7 linked regions of the Solanum lycopersicum genome follow. The protein of the gene in region 1 interacts with the protein of each later gene in a pairwise test. Links are inferred from orthologs where the notes say so. Each region holds a gene or a part of one and is shown on either strand. Other genes may lie near its edges. The genes, in order: abscisic acid receptor PYL3; PLASTID TRANSCRIPTIONALLY ACTIVE protein 6, chloroplastic; transcription factor MYB111-like; TCP20; WPP domain-interacting protein 1; probable serine/threonine-protein kinase WNK5; B3 domain-containing transcription repressor VAL1-like.

Region 1 (4,019 bases):
TATTCAATTTCAGTTTAATTTTCCCTTATGTATGATTATTTAGTGGTTGTTTGGTGATTTAATGATGGATTAGCAGTGGATTAGTAATTGTGGATTCTTTTATGTATGGTTTCACCCTAAAAAAAGAGTGAAGTATGTATTTGAGGAGATAATAATTCAATTTTAAAATATTTTTATTATTTATTAAAATAATATTTAATTTGATCTGAATATAATTAAAGTTGATTGTCTAATAAAAATATTTATCTCTAAATGAAAATTTTTAATTTCACTTTAAAGTATTTAAATTCATCGAATATCGAAGAACAAACAGATCATTGTATTAATAAGTGTAGGCTAACGACTTATCCGATTGGAATGAAGAAAATGATTGACTAGAATCCAAATGTTAACAGGATAAAATGTTTTGATAATGCATCTATTTTATTTTATGAGATATATTTCTTCTATACTTAGAATAATTTAATTTTGAATTCTTTACTTTAATTTATTCTGACATAATTTTATAATGGAATCATGCAAATATCATAAATGTTTTGAATTATATAAATTGCAAGAATTTTATTCCTTTTGTTTTACACTGAAATTATATGGTAGATAATCCTAACGATAATCCCAGTAATCATAATAATTTGATTTCGAACCAAACTATACAATTCATTCGTCTTTTTTAAAGTTCGTTTTAGAAAAAAATATATTTTTAATTCTTTTTTCATATGATATATAATTAAAATCAATAAGATTAAATAACATGATATTTTTTTCTTTTTTTTTTGAATTCTTTGAATAATCGGAAGTTGCTATAATTTCTGTCATTTCTATCCGACAGACTCGACTCAAAAGTGTTGAGTGAGGATCAATCCCGAGTCATCCGCGTGAATAACCACCTTCAAAATCAACTAATCATCTCGAATGACATATGAAATGTAAATCGTACTAGATAAATTCTATGTGACAAAATCAACTCAGAAAATATTGAGGGAGATCAATCTCGAATTATCCGTAGGGATAACCACCCTCAAAATCATCTGAGTCATTCCAAAGGACATATATTTTTAGTTTATAGACATAAAATTAATTTTTTTTTTCACTTTTTAAAATTTATGTCAATTCAAATAAAATAAATAAATTAAAATAAAAGAAAAAACAAATAATCAAGATACTTTAAAGCCGACAAGGGCACAATATTATTAATAAAGATTTTAACCAATTACTTATCTTATAACATCAAATATATTATTCTAAAATAACATTATCAATTTCTACTTTTGTAAAAAGTAGTTTTCTCCATTTTAGATCAAAATGTTAATTAAATTTAGAAACTTAATACCTACCCCCCACCACCAAAAACCCCACTTGCACAAATTATCTTAATTATTTAAATTACAAAAAAATAATAACAATAATGGAGGTTTATAGATGTGGACGAGAAAATAAAAATATATATAAAAAAATAAAATAACCCATCAAATTTAAACCACTCAAAAAATTATTTCGAGGTTCTAATGGCGGTGTCTTTTGGCTTTTTCTAAATTAATTTTTCTCATTTTCCACCCTTTTTTTTTCCAGATTTATTCGCCGTCGACGAGGTTGTCGGTGCCGTTGTTTTTTCTCCGGCGATGGTCAGCATCATGAACGTTGATAGAAAAATTAGTAGTGAAGATGAGTATATTAGGAGACATCATAGACATGATGTTAGAGATAATCAGTGTAGTTCATCACTTGTAAAGCATATTAAAGCTCCTGTTCATCTTGTAAGTAACCCCAATTAAGATTCTTGAAAAAAAGTTTGAATTTTTATGTTTATTTTCATTTGTTAAGCATATTAGAGCTCTTGTTGATGTTGTAAGTTGCCCCAAGTTAGATTCTTAATCAAAAAAGGCGGAATTTTTATGTTTATTTTCATTTGTTGAGCATAATATAGCCCCTGTTGAGGTTGTAGGTAGCCCCTATTCAGTGTATTGAAGAAAAAAGATTGGATATTTATGTTTATTTTGAGATAATTGATGCAACTTCTCACTTGTTAAGCATATTGGAGCTCTTGGTGATGTTGTAAGTTGCCCCAAGTTAGATTCTTGAAAAAAAAATGACTGAATGTTTGTGTTTATTTTCATTTGTTAAGCATATCAGAGGCCTTGTTGAGGTTGTAGGTAGCCCTTATTCAGTGTATTGAAAAAAAAGATTGGAATTTTATGTATATTTTGAGATAATTGATGCAATTTCTCACTTGTTAAGCATATTGGAGCTCTTGGTGATGATGTAAGTTGCCCCAAGTTAGATTCTTGGAAAAAACAATCTTTATAGTGTTTTCCGATAACATAGATTATGGATTTTAGTTTTCACAATAGCTGTGGATTTGAGAGAAAAGAGGGGTTGGTTACTGAAAAGAGAGCTCCGTCTTTATCTGTTGAGGAAGCTAGTTGCAGAGATGCCTTGAACTTTTCTTTGGACAATGTATTTTAAGCTGTTTATGAAAGAGAAAAAAAGCAGTGAGTTTGAAACTATTCAAGACGTTTGATTGTTTTATTACTTCATTTCATTGATGTTCTTCGAACTGTTCAGGCTTGTCAATTGATCACTGGAAAAGATTGAAGTAAGTAGACTATTTTGGATTTCTATGGTTTACATGTATTGTATCTAAAGACGGAAAATGGATGTACCATGTATGTTTTTTTGTTTTGAGAAAGGTAACATATTTATGTTTTCTTCACTGGGTACTTACTGGGTTTTGGTATATTTGATAGGTTTGGTCATTAGTGAGGAGGTTTGATCAACCACAAAGGTACAAACCATTTGTTAGCAGGTGCATCGTGCAAGGGGACCTTGAAATCGGAAGTGTTAGGGAAGTGAATGTTAAGTCCGGACTCCCAGCTACCACAAGCAAGGAGAGGTTAGAGCTTCTAGATGATGACGAGCACATTTTTGGTGTAAAGATCGTAGGTGGAGATCACAGGCTTAGGGTATGAGTCTTTTATCTCATCGTTTGATATGTATTGAATATATCCATAACTTTTCCCTCGTAGAATCAACCATGAAGCGTGAAGTATCAACAAGTGACCTATATAGTCAAGTTATTGCTCTATTTATTCATGAAGTCTTTCTTGTGATCTTTTTATTTTATTTCCCTCTTTTTGTGTGTATTTGGGTTTGGGGGGTTGGGGGTATTTTGTTGGTTGTTCACTTTGGATTCTTAGGCTCGTCACCATATGTTCTGTTATTATCCCGGGAAGGAAAAACAAGAGATGATGGTGACTGTCTTAATTTTTCTTCACATTACTTGCAGAACTACTCATCAATTATCACTGTTCACCCGAAGGTCATTGACGGAAGGCCTGGAACAATGGTAGTCGAGTCATTCGTGGTGGATGTACCAGATGGGAATACTAAGGATGAAACTTGTTACTTTGTCGAGGCCCTCATCCGGTGTAACCTCAAATCACTAGCTGATGTATCCGAGCGCTTAGCTGTGCAGGGCCATATGGAGCCTATCGACAGAATGTAGGTTAACAGCTTCATCATTTTGCCAAGCGTGCAAGGATTTGATTAGAAAGCGAGTAAGAGTGACTGGTACTTATGCCGGTCCTTCTCGATCTCAGAAGTATATATATCTTTATCTATATATACATATATATATGTTCATGCTTCCTCTTCATCATCTGTAAGGTCATCGCGGTTTGTAAAATGCAATCAGTCTATTTCATAATGTGAAGAACCAGCCATGCTGTTTGTGGCTGTGCGTGAATTGAGCTTGGGTTGTAAACATCTATGCTCATTAAGGTGCTGTTTCTTGTTATAGGATCATTGTTGTGTGGTTATGACACGCTATACGCTCGTGTATCTTTTGATTTTGGTGTGTCAATATGTACCAGAAACAGTATTTGGTATATTAAAAATAGGGTGCTTGCTTTTTGTTCTGTGTTCCACTTTCCCCTTGAGATTTGTTGTACCGACTCGAGGGTCCTTAGGAAAACACAGGGTAAAGTTTGTGTACATTTTATCCTATTCAGACTCTACTTATG
Region 2 (4,235 bases), on another chromosome or scaffold:
CCCCCTTTGCCTCTTACCCTCTTCCATGCAAACTCCTCCTGAACCCTGCACCCTTTCCCTTGAACAAAACAACCATTTCCCCAAATTTCTGTATTCCTTTGCACCGTATAATTTAGTCAGAATTGATTGTTGAGCGGTGTAAATTGTTAAACATCTCTTCAAAGAATTAACAATCCAATTTTTGGAACTCCAATTACACAGGCAGCAAATTCAGCTATGAAAATAAAAAAGCTATGTCCGCGAAATAAAAGATGATCGCTTTATCAGCCAAGTTACTTTTGATCAATAAAAAATTAGCTAATCTAGAAGAAAAGGTGTTCAATCAAATTTGTAATGATTCCTTACCACTACTTTGGCTCTTGTAATTGATTTGGTTTTAGAATCAATAACGTATATTTCTTCGAAATCAAGAGCAAATTCTGGATCACCTGCCCTGCGATTCCTGTAGTGCTTTGTCAAGAATACCTGCAACAGAAACATGCTGATCATACGACCCATAGAATGCAAGATTAAACATTCTTACCTTCCTAACATAGCCTTCATACCAGTCCAGAGGAGATGTCTGGATTAACTACTTGAACATCATAGTTGTGTGATACAAGCATAAGAATTTTGATGAACATTTTTCAGGATACATGGATGGAGTACAAGAGATCAATATATAAGACCTAAGCAACAAAAAATCCAAAATGATCACCAAAAATGGGTAATAAAGTTTACGACCTCCCTCCAAAAACAAATCAAGAACAAGGATTAAGGAGGAAGATTTGCCTGAAAGCAAAAATAAAGAAAAGAAGATACAAAAACAAGAATACTAAAAGTGTTGTTCCTTGAACTTTTTCCTTTCATATTTTTTTATGTCTCAATGAAAGCTCATCTCGTAGTCCAGCTTGCATTTTACATAACAACTAATACTACTTCACAAGCTTCATACCTTTAGCAAAATAAACTGCATATACAGCATATGACAGAACAAATGTCTAATCAGTTGAACCAGAAGACATCAATACCTTCATAATTTCCCTCTCAGATTTATACATGGGATCTCTAGGTGCATCAATGGGAGGCTCTGTCACATTGTAGCACCCATAATCACTCATCGCACACCTGATATACTACATGAAAAAACATATTGCTGATCAAGAAGTTACTTAAACCCAGTATATCTATTGTAAGTTGAATCATAAGTACTCAAAAGTAAGTCATACAGAATTCAACATGTACAATCATAAATATATAAACCTTCTGAGGCATTGGTGCAAGAACTCTGGGAATGGCATATATATCAGTATCTGGAGGTGTAACATACATCTGCATACCGAATAGAAATGATACTTCATTAGCTAGCACATACATTGTTAAAACGGTAATTAACATTCAAATTTCACTATCTGAATTCTCCTACACCCCAAACTTTGGTCTAATGTTCTTTTCATATGCCGACCTACCCATGTTGAACATACACACGGGTGCGGTAGTACTAGGTGCAGTCCTTCAAATACTCCATAAACTTTATCAAATTGACAATCTCACCAGGATATATATCAATTGGCATACCAAATACACACCCATATTTGAGTCCATGTAACATGGAAGGACAAATCCCTATTTCTTTTTAAAAAACACATCTGAGGTGTAATCCACCCAACAGCGTGTCCAGTCCACAATCACAGGTTTTGCCAATGTTATTATGCTCATAGGTTGAAGCAGATTGGCACCAAGTTTGAAAGCTATTATTCCGATAGTGATCAACAGTACATTATTCCCCTGACTCAGCCTCTAGGTCATCCCTTTTGGACAACCATGTTAACCATTTTATCAAGACAGAAATCAACAAAGTGTTTACATCAATATGCATTCCGAACAACATTACATATAACACTAGGCAAAACGCTAAAATGAAGATATTTTATCCATAAAAAGAAACCATATATGCAAATTCCAATGTGCAGATTCTACTGCAAACATACTAATGCTCCCAGCAGAAAAAAAAAAGAAAAGAGACAGAGACTCAGAATTTAACCTCACGAAAATCATAAACATCGTCATCAGGATCAGGAGGTTTACGAATGAAGAAATCACAATCGAAAAGGCAAATTTTATGAAACTCCTCCTCCTTAATCCTATAATCCACAATTTTCTCCGAATCCCATCCTTGAGTAAACACAAAGCTACTGCTATTCACCATCGCAATGTCATCATCACCCCTAGCAACAGCTAAAGATATAGCACTACCACCACCTAAGAGGGTATCATAGTCAACATCAAAGTCCTTCTTGTTGTCTGCTTCTTCCACTTCATCTTCGTCCATGTCATATTCATCTGTACCTCCACCGTCAGCATCTCCGTCATCCGCGAACACCCTGAAATCCGGTCTTTTTGAGCTCAAACTTTGTTTAACAAAAATGAGGTTGTTGGAAATTGTCTTAGCGAATGAAACGGTGAAAAGGGTCGGTGTAGAAAGTGAAGAAGGTGCAGTGGAGAAGGTTGAAAGCTTCACCGGAAGCGGCAAGAGGAGACCGGCGCTCATAGTTGTTCAGTGAGTGAAGAGGAAAAAAAAGTGAAGCGGGGGAGTGGATTAGATTTGTACTTTTTGTTACTCATATTATGGTCCTTACATATCCTAGATTTGATACTTAAGCCCCCTCGAAAGCAGGGATGGCAAAGATGCGGGGCGAGGTGAGGCGTGTTAAATTCGTTAAGAGCTACAAATGTTTCGATCCACCTAACCTTGCCCTGCCTATCTCATGTAGTAAAATAATTTATTTTCAATTTATTTGACCTCGTTTTATCATGTCCCTTTTAAATTCGTTCCACATAAATTTATTATATATAGTTTTTTTTATAATGACTTTCGTGCCACTTACTTTGTTCTATATATGTTAAAAAAGATTAGCTGAAACTTTTGTAATATAAAATCAATTATAAAAGCTTGATTTCTTGATCTTTAGAACTCCGATTGAGCTGATTTCTGTTTCTAATTGCTATTGGGTTTTTGAGTTAGGATTATTGGGGGGGGGGGGGGGGGGCATTATGGGCTTCTTTTGGAGGTAATTTCTCGTTCAGAACCTCCTTTGTTATCTCTTTAATGGTGATTTCTTGAAGTTTTAGTGTATGAGCTTTTAAGGTGGATTTAAGGCTTAGATTGTGACCTTTTTGGGGGCACAGGCTCCTCGGTTGAATAAGATCTCTCAAAATGCAATTTTGATTTGTTTTAAATTTCATCTTCAATTATTGTAATTTGGGTGTCAAAAAAAGTCTATATTAATGTCGTGGTCATTCATTTGATAGTGTGACCACAATTGGAGGCAATTCAGAAGGTTAAGCTCTTGCTTAGTGATTAATTTGGAGCGCGCATGATCAATTTTGAGGTAGAATACGACTTACCGATCTTAGATTGAGTTTTTGTTGCTATTTTCATGTTATTTAGCTAGTATTGGGAGGTTTATCTATCTTGAATCATGTTTTGTTGATAGAACACGTGATTTTAGCCCCTTTTTGGATAGTTTTTGGGAAATTGAGCATTCCTTCTTAGTTTACATGTTGTATTTTACCCTGTTGTATCTATTTGTTTGATTGTAGTGATATTGATGGCTTGTTCTTTGCCTTAGACTAGGCATAGGCTAGTGATAGCCTTAGACTTGCTATTTGGAGCTATTAGGCTTTAGAAATCCCCTGCCTTCGCTTCAGACGACTTAGCTCTCACTAGAGTGATGTAGCAGACTTGGGAATGATAATATGAATCCTTAGCTATGCGACAACTCAACTCGTGTAACTGTTCGTCCATATATTTCCTTATGTAACCTTAGTGGGACACAATCAGAGTCTAATAGCCATTGTTCGAGGCCTTAACACATCTCTTATAACCACTCTTTGAGGCCCTACCGCATCTCTTTTAATTTAGCAATAGTTTGAGGCCTTGGCGCAGTTCTAACAACCTTGGTGTGAAGCCCTAACACATTACCACAAGCCACAATTTGAGTCCGGGTACAATTCTATCTGTCAGGCTTAAGTCTAGACATTGTGGTTTCATTGGGTTCTTTGGGTTGCCTTCGCCGCAATTTGAGTCTGAGGACGGACGTTATAGTTCTTAAATACTTCTAATCCTTGCTAGTATTATCTTTAGCTCTTATGTGATCTCATCGAGCTTATGAGGGTCCATTAAGGTTATTTACTTTCCAATTGTGCATTAATGTACCTTCTGGGCTTATGGAGGTCCAATTAGGTTATAGATA
Region 3 (4,104 bases), on another chromosome or scaffold:
ATTAATTTTACAGGATTGACTACTATTACTCTCTTAAATTTTACAGGGTTAGGTTATGATGGTTGAGGTTGAGATATTAATAACTTAGCTTTGATTTAATATTTTTTAGATTTAAGAGATTAAAATGAGTAACAATTATTTATCTAAATCATATTTGACCAAATTCTTATTTACCTATATTATTTTATGGATGAATTGTTATCCAATCTATTTTTAACTCAATCCAGATCCAATTCATTCAAAGTCAATGCAATCAATCCATTTGTTACCTCTAATAGACACTTAAACTTAAATCAAATTAAACAAATAAACACGCACGCCTTACATGACATAACACACATAGGACACCACACAAAACATAAAATTATTACACATAAAATAAATACATTTATCTATTTAATCTTTTTATAAATTTAAATATATATTTGTATAAATTCAATGTTAATGGATATAAATAATAGATAATATCAAATTAAAAGACATAGTCACTATTAAAAAACATTCACTTATTCGGAGACCAGTCAACAATATAACTAAATATTTTTTGAATCCTCTTTGTCTTCTGTAACTACACCAATATATTCACTTATTTCATATTATAAGTATTATTCAATAATAAAACCCTCCTTTTTTCCTTCCTTTAGCTCCGTCTCAAACATCTACTTATTTTTCTTAATTATTTTTTATGACAAAGGAAGCTCGCCGTTGTTGTCTTTTAGGTGCGTACAGGTTAAAAATCTCCTTTCTTTGTAATAGCTCGCAAATCACATGAGGTAATCACACTAGGCAATTCTTATGCGACGAGCTCGATCCAGAAGTTAAATTCTTATTTTTGCTGGCAAGAGGTTTCGAACTTGAAACCTCCAATATGGAAGTCCCAAACTTACGCCCACGTGATAGAAAAGAGAAATTAAAGATGGAGAATTATATCATTAATTAAGTTGATATTAAGAAAGATAAAAGTTGAGATTACTTCTAATAATTGAGTTATTAAGATTATTATTATTTTTTTGGAATAATTTTGAGTAATATCAATGAATAAGGTAGACACAAGACGTGACGGTGCTCATGCCACGGCTTTCTTCTATATTGCGTGGTATTTTCAATCTCCAAATAATTCCTCTACGACTGACACATAATGCAAAATCTTCCACATTTTAAAACTTTGGTTTATTTTTTTCTTCTTTTTTCTTTTTACCTTCAATAAAGATATGTCCTATCCTTAAAAGCTGTCAACAATTATGTCATAGGTTCTAAAATTTTTATTATATTTTTTGTAAAATAAAAGACTATTTTGAATAAAGTTTAAATACGTCCAAATTAGCATCATCATAAAAATAGGAAGAGGTGAGTAGGTGAGATGGAATTAATTAGTGCACCAAACTATTTGTTTCTTCAAAGTTCTACTATCTATTTATTGATATTATGTTTGGGGCTTTTTCATCATTTGCACTTACCAAAATTATCTTACAAAGTGTAGTGTATAGTATATAGTATAATAATTATATAATACTATACACTAAAAATTAAATAATGGGAAGAACACCTTGTTGTGAGAAAGTAGGTCTTAAGAGAGGGAGATGGACTTCAGAAGAAGATGAAATCCTCACAAACTATATTCAAGCTAATGGTGAAGGTTCTTGGAGGTCATTACCCAAAAATGCTGGTAATTAACATCGCTTCGCTTTGCTTAATGTGTAATTAACTCGTCTAAAAGTTTCTTTTTTATTTATTTATTTATACAAAAATCAGTGAGATACTACATTTTTGTTTACTTATACTTTCAAAGTATATGCTAGCTACATTCTTTAACTGAGTATGCCAATAAAATTTTATAGTAGCATCATGAAATATAAATTAGCTAAATGACCTAAAATTTTAGCCAGAATGTAATTTCTAATATTCTTTTATTTTAAAATAGATTCTATTTTTTGGTTAATAAATTTTAAACTTTAAAAAGTAAAAAGTGTTTTTTTAAAATAAAATAAAATACTCCCTCCGTCAGAAATTGTTTGTCATGTTGCGCTTACCGAAAGTCAATTATCGATATTTTAAACAAAAAAATTAGATATTCTAAAACTATAGAAAAAGTACTATAAATTACAATTTTTTGCATATTAATATGATAAGAAAATACATCTTAAAATATTAGTCAAAATTTTATAATAAAACACTAAAAATAATAATCACGACAAACCATATCGAAAAAGTTTGTTTAATCAAATTTTCCGGCCTAAAGGAATTTTGCCTTTTATAATGGTAAAAAGTAACGTACGACCTAGGGACTAAGTTGGCTAATTAATATCATACTATTCTAGGAGTTATTTATACTAATTAATAACATTTTTGTCAGAAAGAGCTGTAGTAGAAGAGTTAAATAAAATAAAAATTATGAGCTAACTGATTGTGTTATGTATTTTGATTTAGTGAATTATGTGTTCAATGGTTTGTTGCAAAGTCAAAAAAGTTTTTATTTTATTTTTGTGGTCCTTTGATAGGGTTATTAAGATGTGGAAAAAGTTGTAGACTCAGATGGATTAATTATTTGAAGAGTGATTTGAAGAGAGGTAACATAACCTCTGATGAAGAAGCTATAATCATCAAGTTACGTGCAACTTTGGGTAACAGGTTTGTTCGTTTTCATTAAACTTACAATTTTCTATTCACAATAAAAACTTAAATATAATTGTATAAATCTGAATGTTTAATTTGGTTTGCAGGTGGTCTCTGATAGCAGAACATTTACCTGGTAGAACAGACAATGAAATAAAAAACTATTGGAATTCTCATTTGAGACGAAAGGTGGATAGCTTTAGAATTCCAGGTGATGAGAAGCTACCACAAGCAGTTGTTGAATTAGCTAAAAAAGGAACACAAGTAAAACATATTACCAAACGAGGACGCAGTAGAAGAAAAATAATTACTAGAGTGTCAAATTCTACGAATGAAAATATCGAGTTTGATCATATTGATGACCAGATGTTATGGCATGACGATATTGTGCCGATGGACGCTAACTATGAAGTGCTAGATCAAGATTTTATTACAAATTGTTTATGGGACGATCAAGGAGAAAATCTCGAAATAACTGATGATAATGATAATAATAATAATAATAATGAAATCTTAAGTGAGGATAATTATGGTAAGTGGGATTGGGAATATTTAAGTGAAATATTGAATAATGAAATATGTGGAAATAGTACTAAAGAAACAGAGCAAAATAATAATAATAATAATATGTCATTATGTGACATTAATGACAATGTGCAGAACTGCATGAACAAAGAAGCAACACAAGAAAATATTGATCCCATGCAGAGTGATTTGGTAGCTTGGCTTTTGTCTTAATTTTGGAAGTATTACAATTAAGGAGATAATTTATATTATTTATTCCACAAAAATAAAGATCAAATTATGTATATTACTTTCTTTTTTTTTCTTTTCAAATTTCATTTATGAGATGAAAATATAATATGTTATTAGTGTGGTAGAAATAGACTAGGCATGTACAGTGGGTTTAAGTGTATTATTTGGTTTTTTTTCTTCTTAATGATGTATATATATTATTTATAAATGAATTAAATAAAAAGTTGTTTGCGTACTCTTCTTTTAAAGTATTATTATAAATATTTTTAATTTTTCTAAGAGGAAAATATAATTTTCTTCCTCATTTGATTATTTTTTTTTTAGAGAAAATGTATGGATCACTATAAATTAGAAATTCTTCTTTCGTAGCAAGAACATAATAACATTTACGATGTATATTTTTAAAAAATTTATTTTATGGAGAGATTTTTTCTCGATAGTCTTGATAAAAAAATTATATTAGCTTTATATTAAGGTCAATTAGAGAAAATGTACTAATATTTCTCATGTCTTAATTATCCTTTCACTGTGTTGCTCTTCATTACAATTTTAATTTTTAAATGATTAGCTTTCAATCATGTATCACTTTTTCTTCTCTTTATGAAATTAGAGAAAATGCATTTTTTCTCAACAGAATATATACATACATCCTTTTAATCATAATTAATACCCCTATCTATCTATTAATTGACTTAAAAATTATAAAAAAAAATTAATATATGAATGACTTATTTT
Region 4 (3,347 bases), about 1.6 Mb from region 1:
AATTAACTATTTATTAAGCTTTTCTTAAAAATATCAAGTAGTATCTATTTAAAATTGTGATTTTTTAAAAGATAAGTAAATAATATGAATAGAAGATGATAATGGAAGAAAATTAAAAAAATACTCAATCTAAGCAATTTGCGAGCCACAAATTTACCATATCATAGGTGATATAGGTTTTGAAACCTACTATTTTATCAGTCTCAAAATATTTTATTTTTTCCATTAAATAGTTATTTCAAAATATTTATCATTTTTAAAAATTCAAAATAAAATTAAAAAACTGATTAATCGAAAATATTATTAGCACTTAGAAGTTGTTTGGCATAGGATATCAAATAGATACAGTTATCTCATGTATTGTGATATTCCATAAGATTAGTTATCTCACCATGTTATTTGAGATAACTTATTCAATCATTATAATACATATGATGAAATAATTTTCCTAATTAAACGCATAATATAATACTCATAATTTTTTTTTGATATTATTATACTTTATTGTAGTGATATAATAAGTACTTTTTCATCTTTAACCAAAGGGCTTAGATTCAAGTATCCTTGGTTACAGAGTCACCTTTGTTAGGTAGTGTTTTATCCCTCAATGTGAGACTTTTCAAGATGAATTCAAATTTAGTCGAGCTGGAAACTAGATATCAAATGAAGAAAAAGAACGGACACCAAATGAAGAAAAAAGAAATAAATATAAATACCAGACATCGAATGAAGAAAAAAGAAAGAAGTATAGAAACTACCTCTAAAAAATGGATACCGGACATCGAATGAAGAAATAAGAAAGAAATATATAAAATACCTCTAAACTAGAGGTAAATTATTAGTTGCGTTCTTAAACTATTAACAACCTTAAAAACACTCATCTACTTGACTAACTAAATTTAAATACACCATCGACTCATCTCCAATCTGTCATACAACATACCAAGTGACTTCAAACTCTTATAAGAGCATGATATTCTTAATAAAAAGTCAAGTTAAGTGTTGAAAACAATCATAAACTTGATAAAAATTTAGAAGTGTATTTCAATTAGGATTATATTTAAGTTTGTTTAGTTAAAAAAAAACATTTTTAAAAATGATATTAATAATTCACATTAAATTTAAAAGTATCTTCCCTACTTAACCCCCCAACCCACCCCAAAAAAAAGAAAAAAAAAGAAAGAAAGAGTATACCTATAACCCACCCACCCCTCTCCCTAAAGTAGAGCTCCCCTTATTATGGTGGGGACCTTATTGTAGTGAAGGGAGAGAGGGCCACATTTTAGATCCATTTTTTCTCTTACACCAATTGTAGGACCATTTGTGGCAGTCAGTATGGTCCACTCAGAAAAAGTCACACTTTTCTTACCCCTACACGTGTCATCATCCCACTCACTCTTCCCTTATATACCTCTTCAACTTCCACCGTCTGATTCATACTCCCATTTCCCACTACTCACACCTTTTTTTTTCTTCTTCTTTTCCGAAAAAAAAAATTAAAAATATGTCCAGTTTTCATGACCCAGATGATGATTGTGGCACCTCCGAGCTCAGTAACGGCGCTGCCGGAGATCTAAATGACCAGAAAATGGACGGTCATGCAGTTGCCGATGACAAAAAACTCGTGTTTTCCGCTATGAAAGAAGAACCGTTTGATTCCGATCATCATACTTTGGTTCCATCAATGCCTATGCCGGTAGCTACCGCCGCCCCTCCGCGGAGGTCCTCTACCAAGGACCGCCACACAAAAGTAGAAGGACGTGGACGGAGGATCCGAATACCTGCTACATGTGCAGCTCGGATCTTCCAATTGACCCGAGAACTAGGTCATAAGTCCGACGGAGAAACTGTTCGGTGGTTGCTTGAACAGGCGGAGCAATCTATAATTGAAGCTACCGGAACCGGAACTGTACCGGCGATAGCAGTTTCTGTTAACGGTACTCTTAAGATTCCGACGAGTTCCCCGGCGAGTAATCCAGAAATCGACGAGAACCATCCACAGAAACGTAGAAGGAAATCATCAAACTCAGAGTTCATTGATGTCGGAAGTTTGAATAGAAATGCTGCAAATGTTTCACAATTTGCTCCGGTAACAACCACGCCGGCAACAATAACCACCGCTCCACCGCCGGGATTCGTACCGGTATGGGGTATGAGTAATGGTGGTATGATGGTACCATCCAATGCCATTTGGATGATACCAGCTACGGTCCCACCAGCTCAAGTAAACGTGACCAATAACAATAACGTCGTGCTCCAGTATCCTCAATTATGGACACCTGTATTTAATTTGGCCACGAGGCCAATACCATCATTCGTGACTGCAGCCACGATTAATACTAACGGTCCGCCAGCAATAATGATTGCAGGACCGTTATCAGTGAATAATGGAGCAGCCACAACCACGGGGCCTAAAATTGGATCGAACAAGTCTAGCATGGCTCCAGCTAGTTTAAGCTCTAGCACAGATAAAAATAACAACAATACAAATGATGTTAAACCTCATATGCTAAGAGATTTTTCACTTGAGATTTATGATAGAAAAGAGTTACAGCTTATGAGTCGAAGTGGAAATCATCAACAAGAAACTCAAGTTACATCTTCAGAACGTTCATAGATTCAAGTGATCGTCATAATTTATTGAGAATCAATATAAATATAGAGGCAGAGTTTAGGCCAAATATGCTCATGATACTCTTGTATGTACAAACTACTAGAGGACACTAGCTATTCACTTTTTATTTTGTTTCTTTTGCTTTTGTTAAACTAATGTTAATTAGAAGTTGAATGATGTGTAACTCTCTTAGAAAAATTACAAATAAATCATTGTATAATTGTCAAAGGAAACATTATCATCCTTCAGCTTTATTATAATTTAGTTAACTGTGTATTAAAGATTTGCATTATTTTAATTGTCATGTCTTTCAAGCCCTAAAGTTAGAATTCATTGAAGTGGAAATCAAATTACTTCCAATTAACCTAACCTACTTAGTGCTTCACTACATTATATGTCACATAAGTGTCATTCTTGCACTTACTAGGCATCAAATATTTGGTCTTTTATTTCTCACCCATACTTATAAACAATTTTCACAAAATATTACTTTCTTTCGTGGACGGTCAAAATAGAAAAAATAAGTTTTCTCGAAGTGAAGATATATTTGTTTGCTCTATTAGTGTTCATCCAACTCTTCCATACTATCTTTGCCCTCGTAATATTTATCTAAAAATTTCTATCTGCCAACTGGCAGCACAAACAAACTTAATTAATAATCTTACTAGACAAACTTTTGACCATGATCTGTTTTTGGGAAATGAGAAAAATTATAAAGTGAGTTTCTGAAAAG
Region 5 (4,288 bases), on another chromosome or scaffold:
ATTTTTCACCATTTAGAGTGGACAACTATGACCTTAATTTGACGTTAGTTGACAACTATGACCTTTAACTTTAGTTGTGCATAAGTAGACACTTAAAACTATAATCTTTAACTTTACGTGGCATCCTACATGTATTACGTCCTGTAGTACACGTGTGTCTACTTGTTCAATTTTATACAAGTGTAAGTGACTATTTGTGCACACTCAAAGTGGAAAGGCATACTTATTCGTTGAAGCCAATTTAAAAGTCATATTTATGTATTATTCTTTTAGAGTGGGTACCTCTTTTGTTGTCACTCGAGGTACAATATTAGCTTTAGAATCAATTAATTTGGATTCGTGTTGGAAATTGCCATGAGGTGAAGTGTTCCTTATTGAAGGAAACAAAAAGATAGAACAATCCATTTATTCGAAGAGAACTCTTTTGTTTTTTTGAAAATAAATGTAGATCTTATTCGTGAAGATAGAGAGATCGTTTTTCAAAAATAAATATAGATCTTACTCGTGAAGATAGAGAGATCGTTTTTGAAAATACAAATATATGGGAAGGTAACAATTAAATGCAACATGTTTCTCTGTCAAATACTCTGGCAAAGTGCCTAATTATTTCCTCTCACACAAAGAAGATTCCATCAATAATTGAACACACAGATTTGACCTCCACTTAGTTATTTCTGCAGTGTCATTTTCCATTTTTTTCCCCTAAAAAACACTGCATCATGTGGGTTTCCACATCATCTGCACACTACTTTGCCCCACTTTGGTCTCTTTATCTTCTTGGCTCTCCCATGTTCTATCCACATCCTTTTATTATAATCGTGACGTCTGAGTTAGTTTATACGTATCTCGATTATATTTTAATAAGATATCTACTAATCTTTACCTCCCATCAATACATATATGTAAACTTTTTTCACATAAAGTTATGTACAAATGAAAAGATATTACAAAATTTATATTCGATACTTGCATAATTCTTAACTTAGTTCATTAATCTAAAGGAAATATTTCACGTGGACTAACACAACTTTATTCATTATAAAAAATAAGTACAAAGAATAGTTTTTAACCAATTAAATCAAATTGGTTGTGTTAAATTTTTACAAAACTAATATGATTTCTTTTTATATATATATTTTTAATGATTTGATTGATATAATAAGTTAAGCTAACGTTTTAATTTTGGTTACCGTTGTGTAATAGCATGTTATAGAAATTATCACATTTGTACCAAACAAAACAATGTTGTTGATGAAACGGTCACATTTGGTATTTAAGTTAAAAAGTATAATCTTCTATCGAGATTTCAAATCGTGCACTACTAATATTCGACCTTTCTTAGTGATATTGCACTTAGATATAGAATATATTGTGACTATGAGTTATACACGTTATGAATTTTAAACATCAAGTTAGAAATTTAAGTGGAAGATAATAATAAGCGAGTTTATTGCTTATTGAAATTTCAAATCGTGCATCATAAATATCGAGTTATTGTGTAGTGATTCCATCGCAAACATAAAGTAATCCCCCAAATTCTTAATCTTTCGTAATGTCAATAGTAAATTAGAAAAAAAAATTGAAGTTGTCAACTTCTTCCTATAGTTCATATAATAATTAATAAAATTATTGAAAATAATAATAATCAATTACGTATTATTAACAACTCCCAACCCGACCCGATCTACCCCACTCCTTTTCAAGTCGTCTTCCCCAAATTATCAGTTGTAGCAATTTTGTGGCTATAAATTTCTGAATCCACATCAAATCTAGGGTTTCCATATTCCTCAATTCCATCTCATTTCTGCAAATCCATCGATCATGGAGGAGAAGGTATGAACGATTTCGTATTCTTTTTATATAGCTTCACAAATTTATGAATTCATTTTTAGTTCCAAATTGAGCATAATCCATTCATTTAGCTGAATCCACTTATTTTGCTGTTGTTGTTAGTGTTTTTAGCTGGAATTTTTACTCAAGCTATGCAATTCAATTTATAGTGAATTTTGATAGATTTTCAGTTTCCATGAACTGGAATGATGGTTGTTTGTTTGTTCTCGATCTTGATCTGAGTTCTTCATTTCTGTTTTTTTCATTTAATAATGAGTGCAGTTTAATCTGCTTATATTGGACTTTCTGTTTATGTAGTGTTCTGTCGCTTTCCCAACTTTTATTTGTCTATTCAGTTCATTATCAATTTACTGGATTCATCTTTGGTTCCAGATTGAGTATAATCGATAGTGATGATTTGTTTAGCTAAATCCAATTAGTTTGTTGCTGTTAGTGTAATGATCGGATAATCCAATTCATTTATCCAAGTTATGTAAGTAAATTCTCGATCTCGATCTGACTTATTCTTCTTCTTTATGTTGTCTAAAAGGCTAAAACCCTGAACTTTATGCTGTAATCGAACTTGATTGGTCAAAGTTTGGAGCTTTAGTTGGTGGAAGACATGAAGCAATGACCACCACACTTCAAGATTTGGATGATCCAGATCGGAACAAGGTTGAAAGCAATGGTTCCAGTGTTATTAATCACAATACCCCTATTTTAGATGAGTCTAAAGGTAAAGGTATTGAAACTGCGGACCCAGTGGGTTCACCTCCCTCAGTGAAATCCTCACCAACAGCTAAAGGATTTGGCTTGAAGAAATGGAGGAGGATCAGGCGGGAAGCACACAAGGATGAGGACAGTAACACAGACAATGCTAAGTTGTTGAAGCGTGGTTTGTCGAGCTCTGCTGCAAACTCAGCAAAACCTGTACATTTGTCCACTGGATCGATCCGAAATAGTGATGGATCTGTTTCTTCAGTAAATGCACTATTGGGTAGCCCTGATGTTCTTGTTGATGGCTTTGGTCTTATTGGTAATTCTGGGTTGGCGATTCATCCTATATTTTTGGGTGGAACAGACTCGGAAAATAGTGAGGATCGGAGTAGTAGGTCTTCGACTGCAGCCAGTGCTCCAAAGTCAAGGTACGAAGCACCTGTTTTCCATGGTTATATGCCTGTTAAGAATGGGCCAGGTACTTTGGGTGGGAAGATGGGTACTTCAGCTCAGCAATCTCATCGGGGAAAGGGTCAGGCTGAAATTAGTAAAAAGCCTAGAGGAGAAAGGGTCAAAATAGAGAAGGAAAACTCTCATTCAAGCATGGAATCCGACTCACAAAGCTCCAATTTTCTACCTATGCAGAGTAATAATCATGCAACAAGTAATGGTATGAAAGGTGGAAGCTCAGTGAATAATGATGGACAATTCAGTGATGAAGTTCTCACCAGAGAAAGACCATTCAGCGAGGAACTTCAGACTGCTCTAGACAGAAGAAATGATAAGGAGTGTGAAACTCAAGAAGATCTAGGCGTTGAATCCGCCTGGGAGGTTAAAGAAGAGAGGAGTGGGTATCAGGGGTTGTCCACAGATCATGATCCTCTGCTGGAGTCTATCTTCACCCTTCAAGCTGCTCAGGAAAATCTTGAAAGAGGTAGATCTTCAGTTTTCTTTGAAGTATACGATTTTGAGCCTATTCTAGTATGTTCTTTTTTTGGTTTTGATTATGCCTTCTATTTTCTGCTTGGAGTCTTCAGCATATTGTATGAAGCAAATTTCTTTTTTGGGTGGAAGTTTATTCTAAGTTCAAAGAAGTATTAGAATGATTGCAGTCATTGCATAGTTATGTGCGACGTCCCCACACCCCGCGACCCGGACGCGTCCCTGCTTTCCCCAAATTTGAACATTTTGTTGTCATGCCCAAGAATTTAGGACTGGCATTGCTTCAGGAAGAGGTGACAGCAAGTCATGAAATTCGATCTGATGTAGTATTGGTAATCTTAATGGTTATGTACATAATAGAAGGATTTGAGTGTGTTCTAATGGTTTTCGCTATGATGCATTTATTGCTTCAAGAATCAAGATTATGTCAAAAGAGTTAAGGTTATTGAAACAATACCATTAAGTTCTTCAGTTTGCCTAAAATAATCCTTTAACTTTGTTCGTAGCTAGTACAACAGATGTTGGTTATGCTTTTTTTTATTTTTTTATGATGAAATATTGGTTATACTCTTTGAAAAGTTGATATCTATTTGTTATAATAAATTCTGATATTGCAACATTGAAGGTGGATAAATGTGTTGCTATTTATTATTTTGATATTGTTGGCTTGCTCAAGATATGTAGTTTAAGCACCAGGACGTGCATTTTCATTGGCTGTAATTAACATGTTCTGTTCTATTTTTTACCACAAAAAAGGTTTTGGAGGAGAGATAATTCTGTCCAATTTAAGGCATGAATA
Region 6 (3,970 bases), on another chromosome or scaffold:
GAAATAAACGAAAAAAAGTCATACTCAAGCTTTTTTTTTCCTTCCCTTTTTAGCTTAGCATCTCAAACAATAGTAATAATGAATTATCTATATTCAAAATATAACTATAAAATCTCTCAGTGTTAATTATATCTATTCAAAATATAACTATAGATCTCTAATATATAATAAACCTAGACGAATAATGTCGGCACATATACGGTTTAATATTTATCTTGATATATATTTGTGTGTATTTATCTATCTATCTATATATATATATATATATATATATATATATATATATATTTGTGCGAAAAATGAAAATCATTTTTTAAATGTCAATTTGAAAGAATCAATTACTTATGATGTGAGTAACTAAAATATTTTTAGTAAATATATATTTACAACATATTATTCATAGGTCGCATAAATTATGACCAATCGAATATACACTATCGTACGGAAAATGACTCCAAGAATAAGGTAGCCAAATTTTCAACTCTAAGCTAGTTACAACACTGACATTATTGGCCAGTATTTTGTATATAATTTATACACTAATGAGAAAAATGTCATTAGAAATTTCCAAAATTGCATTTTTGTGTTCATCTCCTTCTTTTAAATCGTACTAATTCATCGTCTTCATCACATCATATTATTTCTTTTGGGAATAATGTTCCATCAATTTATATAAAAAGAAAAGGAAAAATGTGTAGTTTATGGGTAAGTAAAGGGGGAAGATCACAAAGGATGAACTTAACATAGGAATGAAGAATTTGGCATAAAAGTCATTTATAACACTGAGATTGCAACCAAAATCATGTGGAATAATATTAAGAATAGGACTATTAGTTGCAATGACAAAACCGTCCTCAAGAAAATGAATTTATGACCTAAAGCACACATGTTAGTACCTCCACTCTTCTAATATAGTAGAAAAGAAAAATAGTTATTTATAATTTCTAATGAACTAATAATGAGATTGTGATACAAATCATTAAAAAAAAAAGAGAATAAGTTTTAAAAGAAAATGCTTGCTTAAAAGGTACCAATAATGATATGACAAATTTAGAGACCCCATTAATAATTAATAAATTAAAAAAGCTTGGCCAATCGTTTCTAAGTACTAACTTCTATAGTTGACCTAAAACTGTTTCCAAATAAAACTTACTAGAAATAATAACAAAAAAGGACATATGACCAAATTGGAAATAAAAGGAAAATTTAAACAAAAAATTACACATTGGGATATACACAAAAGGTCAACAGTGTTACAGTAATAAAGTCATCTCAAAAAGGCCATATTTCACCATAAACACCCCACCCTTTTGTTAATCCCAAAAGTCTTCTTCTACAAAATCCCTCTAATTCAACCCTAATATTTCACACAAACACAAGATTAAAGTTTTCTCCATCTCTTTTCTCTCAAATTCTATTCTTTTTATTAGTTATTCCATATTCGATCACATCGCTCTCTGGTCCAAAATCTCATTTATGTGATTATCATCCGCCACTCAAGAAAAATGTCACTTCCAAAACATGGCCATAGATTTTTCAAGTTTAGAATCCCATCAATTATATTTGTTGTCAAAAAGTACCCCACTTTTTAAAATTCCTATTGAAAAGTTGTTGTCTACTTTAATTTAGTTATATTCCCTTGATTTGTTGATTGCATCCTCACCTCTTATAGTGCTTTTTCTTTTGTGTTAGACTTATTCCAAATGATTTGTGGGGATTACGAGTTTTCACGTGAAGTTGTAGCCATGTCTTGGATTATGCTAAGGATTGATTACTCAAGGCTCTTTTGGTTATTATTTGGCGTTTTCTCTTATGAAAATCATGAAGGAAAGCCTCGGATTCAATAGCATTAGCTTATCTATTATCTTTTTAATTACATCAAGAGAAACTACATTAGTTTTGTGTTTTTGTTCTAATAAAGTTTAGTGATAATCATATATATATAGAGAGAGAGAGAAAGTAGTTGCTTGTTAAATATATTTTGTTGGAGTTGTTTGCTTCTTTGTGTATGTATAAGGATTTGGTTGAACATGCTTAAAGTTGGGATGAATGAAATGCTTGATGTTAATGGAACAAATTTGGAGTTGGAGTATGTGGAAGTGGATTCATCTAAACGCTATGGACGTGTAAGTTTTTCATATCTTTTTTTCCTTCATATATATTGTTGTTTTGCACTTTATCATCAATTTGATAAATTAAATTTAAATCATTGATCTCTTTGAGAATTACTCTATAGACCAATGAAAAGTCCACTTCTCTTCTTTTTCATTTAATTTTCTTGTTTTTGCGTTTAAAAGTTCATAGCTCTTTTGTCATACTTCTTTTGGGTGGAAATCTTTTACTGCTGGACAGCATTTAGTTGAATTTAATTAGAAATATTTTTTTCCCAATAAAGATAAATATAAGTAAAGGAGCTAGATCTTATCATATCAATTCTTAAGAGGTAACAAATTTATATTAATTAACAAATAAAACTATAGAAAACTAGGAAAAATTCTCAATAGAGATAATTAAGTACAAGCAAAGGGCTATAAATTTTATCATCCCAATCCTAACGAAGTAACAAATCTATCAATAAGAATGAAAGAAAATAAAATCTAGGAAAACTAGATGCTTGTACACTACAATATTCCAATGAGGACTGGTAATTAGATAAAAAAAACTAAAATATTAATTATTGGCGATTATTTTCTAAATTTCAGTGGGCATTATTGCTTATGCTGGTAAAAATTAAATAGGTAGCTATGGAAATAATTGAAACGTGGCTCAACCTAGTCCTACATGACTATTTATAAATTGCCATTTTGATTATCCTCAGAAATAGCATGATATAGGGCGGCAAATGTTGGTTGAAAACATCCAAATTAAAATGGCCGACCTCATCATTATTAATTAATTAAGAAGCAAGTTGACTTGTAGAATATATATATATAAAAATTTTATTTGTTAATATTACAGAAGGTGGTTCTCCCCGTGATGATAAAAATATTCCTCCTTTTATTTTGTTTTGGTAGGTGACAAACTTGTGTGTTATAGGGATTTTGGCTCATTGACTTTTTGGATTTTTTCCCCCTTCCTTTTTATATTAATCTATCATAATTAGGTTGTAGAGGTATAGAGGGCTTGGCTTGACCCTACAATATTATGTTATGCACAAAGGAAATAACATGAGGAGGACATGAAAACCTTGTCTCTAGTCTATAAAAAATAGATTGATAGCCTATATAAAGTAACAAATCTTCGGCTAGCTAGAAAATTGACTTTTGGAGGATATATACATTTGGTTCTAGAGAAATTAACTATAATTATACTGTTATAATGTGACAAGTTAAATGGAGTGGCGCGAACAATACAAATTCATATATGGTTGATATTCATGATAAATTGTACATTTTTATGTTTCATTTGAAGTTTTCAGTTTGACTGCTAAGAAATAAATAAATAAAATTTAAGTTTTGTGATCTTAAATTAAATATATTTGTATAGTTCTTTACATCTTGTGGTTTAAAATGTTAAAATTAGACTAAATATAGAAGGGATAAGAAGCAAGTATATCCCTCCCGGAATCTCAGAGACACATCTTACTTAAACTAAGGTCCTATTATCCTTTTGAATTCATTTTTTTTAATTTTGTACACCTTTTGGCTTACGTAGCATACTTCGTGACCCCATGCACTTGAAGCGCGTGGGAGATATTTGGATGTCACATAAGTTAAAAAAGTGTATAAAATTACATAAAAAATGGATTTAGGAGTAATAGAACCTTAATTTAGTTAATGTGTGTTTTTGTGATATTGGTTATAGTTTAAGGGGTACTTGTACCTTGTCCCAATATACAAGAAACACTCTTTTTTAAACCGACTAACAAAAAGTAAGACAATTAAATTGGAATGGAGCGTAGTTAATTACTTCATCTGTCCCAATTTATATGACTTATTTTCCTTTTTAGTCAGTCCCAAAAAAATAACAT
Region 7 (3,500 bases), on another chromosome or scaffold:
TAGATATTAAGATAAAATGTTTAAGATTATTATAGCATGGTTAATAAAGAAGTGTTTATAATAATAATTTGGAATGTAACGATTAAGTAGTGGTTTCAAAGACGTGAAATAATAAATAATAGTGGTATTTTACTCCTTTTAATTTAGGTGACACCATTTGGTTGGATAAGAAGTTTAAGATATGATTAAGAGAGAAAATTCACGTCTCATAAACTTGATAGGTGAATAGATTTTGAATTCTAGGAACTTGTGAAAATTGTATAAAATAATATTTATTAGTAGAATGGTGTGAAATATTTTTGAATACACCAAAATGGAAGGTTGTACAAAAATTGGCATAGGATTACTAATATAAATTATTAAAGGAAGAATACTTTTCATCAATGGAAAAATGTCAAACTTATTGGAATGGATCAAAAAATTAAATTGGTGATTGTGGTTGGTTACTTGGTTTTAAGGTTCATTGCAGTAAAGAAATGATATTGAAAATCTAGAATTGTTCATTTACACATTAAAATTTTGGATGAAAAAATATTTTGTTAAAGGAAATGGTCAAAGAAAATTGTAAATAGAAAGGTAGATGGGTCAAGATATTTGTATAGTTATATAACATATGTACATACTTTCCTTTATTTATTTCTGTTTCTCTAATCAATCAATAAATCAACCTCTTTTTTATATAAACTTCTTTGTGTTTTATTGACGTTTAGTATCATACATATTAACTTGTCAAATTTATCTTTTGCCCTCTCTTGGCAAGCTTACTTTTTAATTGGCATATATTCTCTATTTTTAGTTGTCATGTACTTAAAAAAAATTATTTTACTCATGATCGCTCGCTTCTAGTTATAATAATTAGGTTCAGTTTGTGTAGAGATGTGTATGTAGTAAGAGGTAGAGAATCTCAAGTTATTGAATTATTGGAATAATTCTTGCAAATGAAGCAAAGCAAAAAGTGCGATTATATATTCCACTATAGAGCGATCCAACTACCGTCGAACTTCTCTATAGCAACCATCCTTTGACCCTATACCAACATTTCACTATAACGGCCAAGATTGTTTTGGAATTGATTTTTCATGTTACATTATATTTAACTTTCTATAACAACATTTCACTATAGCAACCAAGAGATATTGAGGCAAACAACGCCATTATAGAGAGGTTTGTAGTTAAAAATGAAGCTTTAGTAGTATTAGTAGTTGGTTATTTTAAAGATTTGTGGATGTAGTTAAAATAACAGGGTCAAAATTAGCTCTCCAATAATGGGAGAAGAGTGAAGCCAATGGCAGTTTACTTTCATGCTAATAACCATCAATGGTGAAAATTCGGACGGCCACTGCATTATATTACTTTCAAAACTTGACATAGTAATTCTGCAAATGAGACAGCTTTTGCACTTGAGAGAAATGGTCTATGTATCTTGGTTTCTAGGTCTCTTAGAATTAGGCAGTCTTGTGTCTGTATTGTGTCCATGCAAGTGTCATTTCCATGCTACACAGACACAACAGGTTGCTCTCTTTTTTCCTTTTTACATTTTCTTCTGTGCTTTGACATTTGATTATTTGATATTCAGACGTTCACTTGCCATTCTTGATATGTGCTCTTCTTGGCAAGCTTACTTGGCATATTTGAATACACTGTCTTATCTTTGCTTGTCATATTTTAAGAAAACTTTCTAAATAATATTTTAAAGATATGGGTTAGTATCTAAAATGCAGGGTCAAAATAATTTCTCTCCATTATGGGAGAAGAGTTAGGTTAATCGCAGTTTGGCCCCATGCTGGAGTACTGAGTAACCATCCAGAGTGAATTGTAACCTTAGTATATCACTTTTTATAGTATATCACTTTTTACCCTTCACATAGTAATTCGGTAATTGATGCAGCTTTTTCACTTAAAGCATACATTCTATGTGTTTTTTTGTTTTCTGGCGGTATTATAACTATATATCTGGCGTCTATATTGTGCCCTTGCAACATTGAAAGACAATCCCACCAGAAAGCCAAAACCTAATCCCTGAAAGAAACAAACAAATTCAAGATATTGATGAATGAATTTTCTCTTTCTTTTAATTCACTTATCTAATCGGAGTTCGTTTTACGTGTGCTTTGAATGTGTATGCCCATTCACGTGGTATTTTACTAATTGTTGCATTCCCCGAAAGTATTCTCTTTGACAAATGTAGCTGATTGTTAGTTGACATAATTTGAGTCTTAATCATCTTATAAATGCTTTTGCAGATACCTGGTGATGATTTTCCTATTGGCAACTTGGGATCTAAGAGTGCAAAGCCACTGGGCATTGAGAATAAAATAGATGAGAATGACTTTGAACGAAGAAGGTTTATGCAGACCAATGAGCCTGGTCAACTCTTTCATACGCAGAGGAATGACAAGAAACAAGATCCAATGCTTCCTATTGGTAATGTCGGCACATGCTTTTCGAATTTGAATCAGCAGAACATTGGGGCTTCTCTCTTTGGCAAACCCGATAATGAGAGACCAAGTCAAGGTGTTAAAGATATGTATGATTCGATCAATCAGCCGTCTCTAAATTTTTGTCTAAGTACTCCAATTGGTACTTCAAGTTCAGGACAGCCTTTTCTTGGTGGAGATGTTGAAGGAAGGGAACAAAGCAAAACTTCTCCCTTCCAACAGGGCCAAAGGGCACGCCATATATTGCCCAAGCCCCCCAAACCTAGTCCCACCTCAGGTTCTGAATCAGTCAAAGGAATGGTTTCACAAGCACGGATTGCAAGGCCACCTGCTGAAGGGCGTGGTGGACGCAGTCAGTTACTGCCTCGATACTGGCCTCGGATTACAGACCAGGAGTTGGAGCAAATAGCTGGAGAGTATCCTTGATAACATATTGTTTTTGGTTGCTATTATCTTTGAGTTGTGTATTGCTCCTATTTTGTTTTACTTTAACTTGAATCTCAGCTTAAAGTCTACTATTGTACCATTGTTTGAGAAGGTCCTAAGTGCCAGTGATGCCGGACGAATAGGGCGTCTGGTGCTTCCCAAAGCATGTGCTGAAGTAATAGTTACTTCTTCAGATTTTTATCTTCTTTGTGAAGTTTAGACAATATGATATCTTGCCTGTTATCTGTATGGCCTCGAATGGTTAGCTTGCGATGCACCTTTTCTGCTTAATCAATGCCAATTCCTATGCAGGCATACTTCCCTCCAATTAACCAATCAGAGGGTCTACCTATAAGGATTCAGGATATTAAGGGTAAAGAGTGGACATTTCAATTTCGATTTTGGCCCAATAACAACAGCCGGATGTATGTTTTGGAGGGTGTTACCCCTTGTATACAGAATATGCAATTGCAAGCTGGTGATACTGGTAAATATCCATGCTTTCATCTTATAAAAAGAGATATTTTTTCATCTCTGGCAGAATGGCTAGTTATCAGACTCGCTGTCTTTCCTTTAGTTTGGTCATCAATTGATTCTGTATTTGATAGTGATTATGATTTTCAGATAGAAATACTA

Evidence for each region.
Region 2: the proteins of abscisic acid receptor PYL3 (region 1) and PLASTID TRANSCRIPTIONALLY ACTIVE protein 6, chloroplastic interact in binary tests that used the Arabidopsis thaliana proteins (3 or more experiments, as listed by UniProt). The link is inferred for Solanum lycopersicum from reciprocal best matches to the Arabidopsis thaliana genes RCAR1 and PTAC6.
Region 3: the proteins of abscisic acid receptor PYL3 (region 1) and transcription factor MYB111-like interact in binary tests that used the Arabidopsis thaliana proteins (3 or more experiments, as listed by UniProt). The link is inferred for Solanum lycopersicum from reciprocal best matches to the Arabidopsis thaliana genes RCAR1 and MYB111.
Region 4: the proteins of abscisic acid receptor PYL3 (region 1) and TCP20 interact in binary tests that used the Arabidopsis thaliana proteins (3 or more experiments, as listed by UniProt). The link is inferred for Solanum lycopersicum from reciprocal best matches to the Arabidopsis thaliana genes RCAR1 and TCP9.
Region 5: the proteins of abscisic acid receptor PYL3 (region 1) and WPP domain-interacting protein 1 interact in binary tests that used the Arabidopsis thaliana proteins (3 or more experiments, as listed by UniProt). The link is inferred for Solanum lycopersicum from reciprocal best matches to the Arabidopsis thaliana genes RCAR1 and WIP1.
Region 6: the proteins of abscisic acid receptor PYL3 (region 1) and probable serine/threonine-protein kinase WNK5 interact in binary tests that used the Arabidopsis thaliana proteins (3 or more experiments, as listed by UniProt). The link is inferred for Solanum lycopersicum from reciprocal best matches to the Arabidopsis thaliana genes RCAR1 and WNK5.
Region 7: the proteins of abscisic acid receptor PYL3 (region 1) and B3 domain-containing transcription repressor VAL1-like interact in binary tests that used the Arabidopsis thaliana proteins (3 or more experiments, as listed by UniProt). The link is inferred for Solanum lycopersicum from reciprocal best matches to the Arabidopsis thaliana genes RCAR1 and HSI2.

Annotation. Positions count from the first base shown.
Region 1 is NC_090807.1:67,225,026-67,229,044, reverse strand, and holds abscisic acid receptor PYL3, read left to right. Parts: upstream 1-1,219; 5' UTR 1,220-1,619; coding exon 1,620-1,754; intron 1,755-2,744; coding exon 2,745-2,960; intron 2,961-3,283; coding exon 3,284-3,502; 3' UTR 3,503-3,909; downstream 3,910-4,019. UniProt on the Arabidopsis thaliana protein: Receptor for abscisic acid (ABA) required for ABA-mediated responses such as stomatal closure and germination inhibition.
Region 2 is NC_090803.1:56,299,551-56,303,785, reverse strand, and holds the start of PLASTID TRANSCRIPTIONALLY ACTIVE protein 6, chloroplastic, read right to left. Parts: upstream 2,801-4,235; 5' UTR 2,531-2,800; coding exon 2,024-2,530; intron 1,312-2,023; coding exon 1,243-1,311; intron 1,116-1,242; coding exon 1,011-1,115; intron 466-1,010; coding exon 346-465; intron 1-345. UniProt on the Arabidopsis thaliana protein: Essential protein involved in plastid gene expression and in chloroplast biogenesis.
Region 3 is NC_090805.1:3,706,665-3,710,768, forward strand, and holds transcription factor MYB111-like, read left to right. Parts: upstream 1-1,416; 5' UTR 1,417-1,533; coding exon 1,534-1,666; intron 1,667-2,498; coding exon 2,499-2,628; intron 2,629-2,720; coding exon 2,721-3,351; 3' UTR 3,352-3,604; downstream 3,605-4,104. UniProt on the Arabidopsis thaliana protein: Flavonol-specific transcription activator involved in the regulation of several genes of flavonoid biosynthesis. Activates the expression of CHS, CHI, F3H and FLS1. Controls flavonol biosynthesis primarily in cotyledons and leaves. Confers tolerance to UV-B.
Region 4 is NC_090807.1:65,638,203-65,641,549, forward strand, and holds TCP20 (TCP transcription factor 20), read left to right. Parts: upstream 1-1,436; 5' UTR 1,437-1,504; coding exon 1,505-2,617; 3' UTR 2,618-2,847; downstream 2,848-3,347.
Region 5 is NC_090809.1:846,055-850,342, forward strand, and holds the start of WPP domain-interacting protein 1, read left to right. Parts: upstream 1-1,488; 5' UTR 1,489-1,833; intron 1,834-2,380; 5' UTR 2,381-2,460; coding exon 2,461-3,481; intron 3,482-4,288. UniProt on the Arabidopsis thaliana protein: Mediates and enhances the nuclear envelope docking of RANGAP proteins mediated by WIT1 and WIT2 in the undifferentiated cells of root tips.
Region 6 is NC_090808.1:13,977,158-13,981,127, forward strand, and holds the start of probable serine/threonine-protein kinase WNK5, read left to right. Parts: upstream 1-1,170; 5' UTR 1,171-2,030; coding exon 2,031-2,126; intron 2,127-3,970. UniProt on the Arabidopsis thaliana protein: Regulates flowering time by modulating the photoperiod pathway.
Region 7 is NC_090805.1:50,704,604-50,708,103, reverse strand, and holds part of B3 domain-containing transcription repressor VAL1-like, read left to right. Parts: intron 1-2,243; coding exon 2,244-2,854; intron 2,855-2,942; coding exon 2,943-3,039; intron 3,040-3,176; coding exon 3,177-3,351; intron 3,352-3,500. UniProt on the Arabidopsis thaliana protein: Transcriptional repressor of gene expression involved in embryonic pathways, such as LEC1, ABI3, and FUS3. Repressor of the sugar-inducible genes involved in the seed maturation program in seedlings.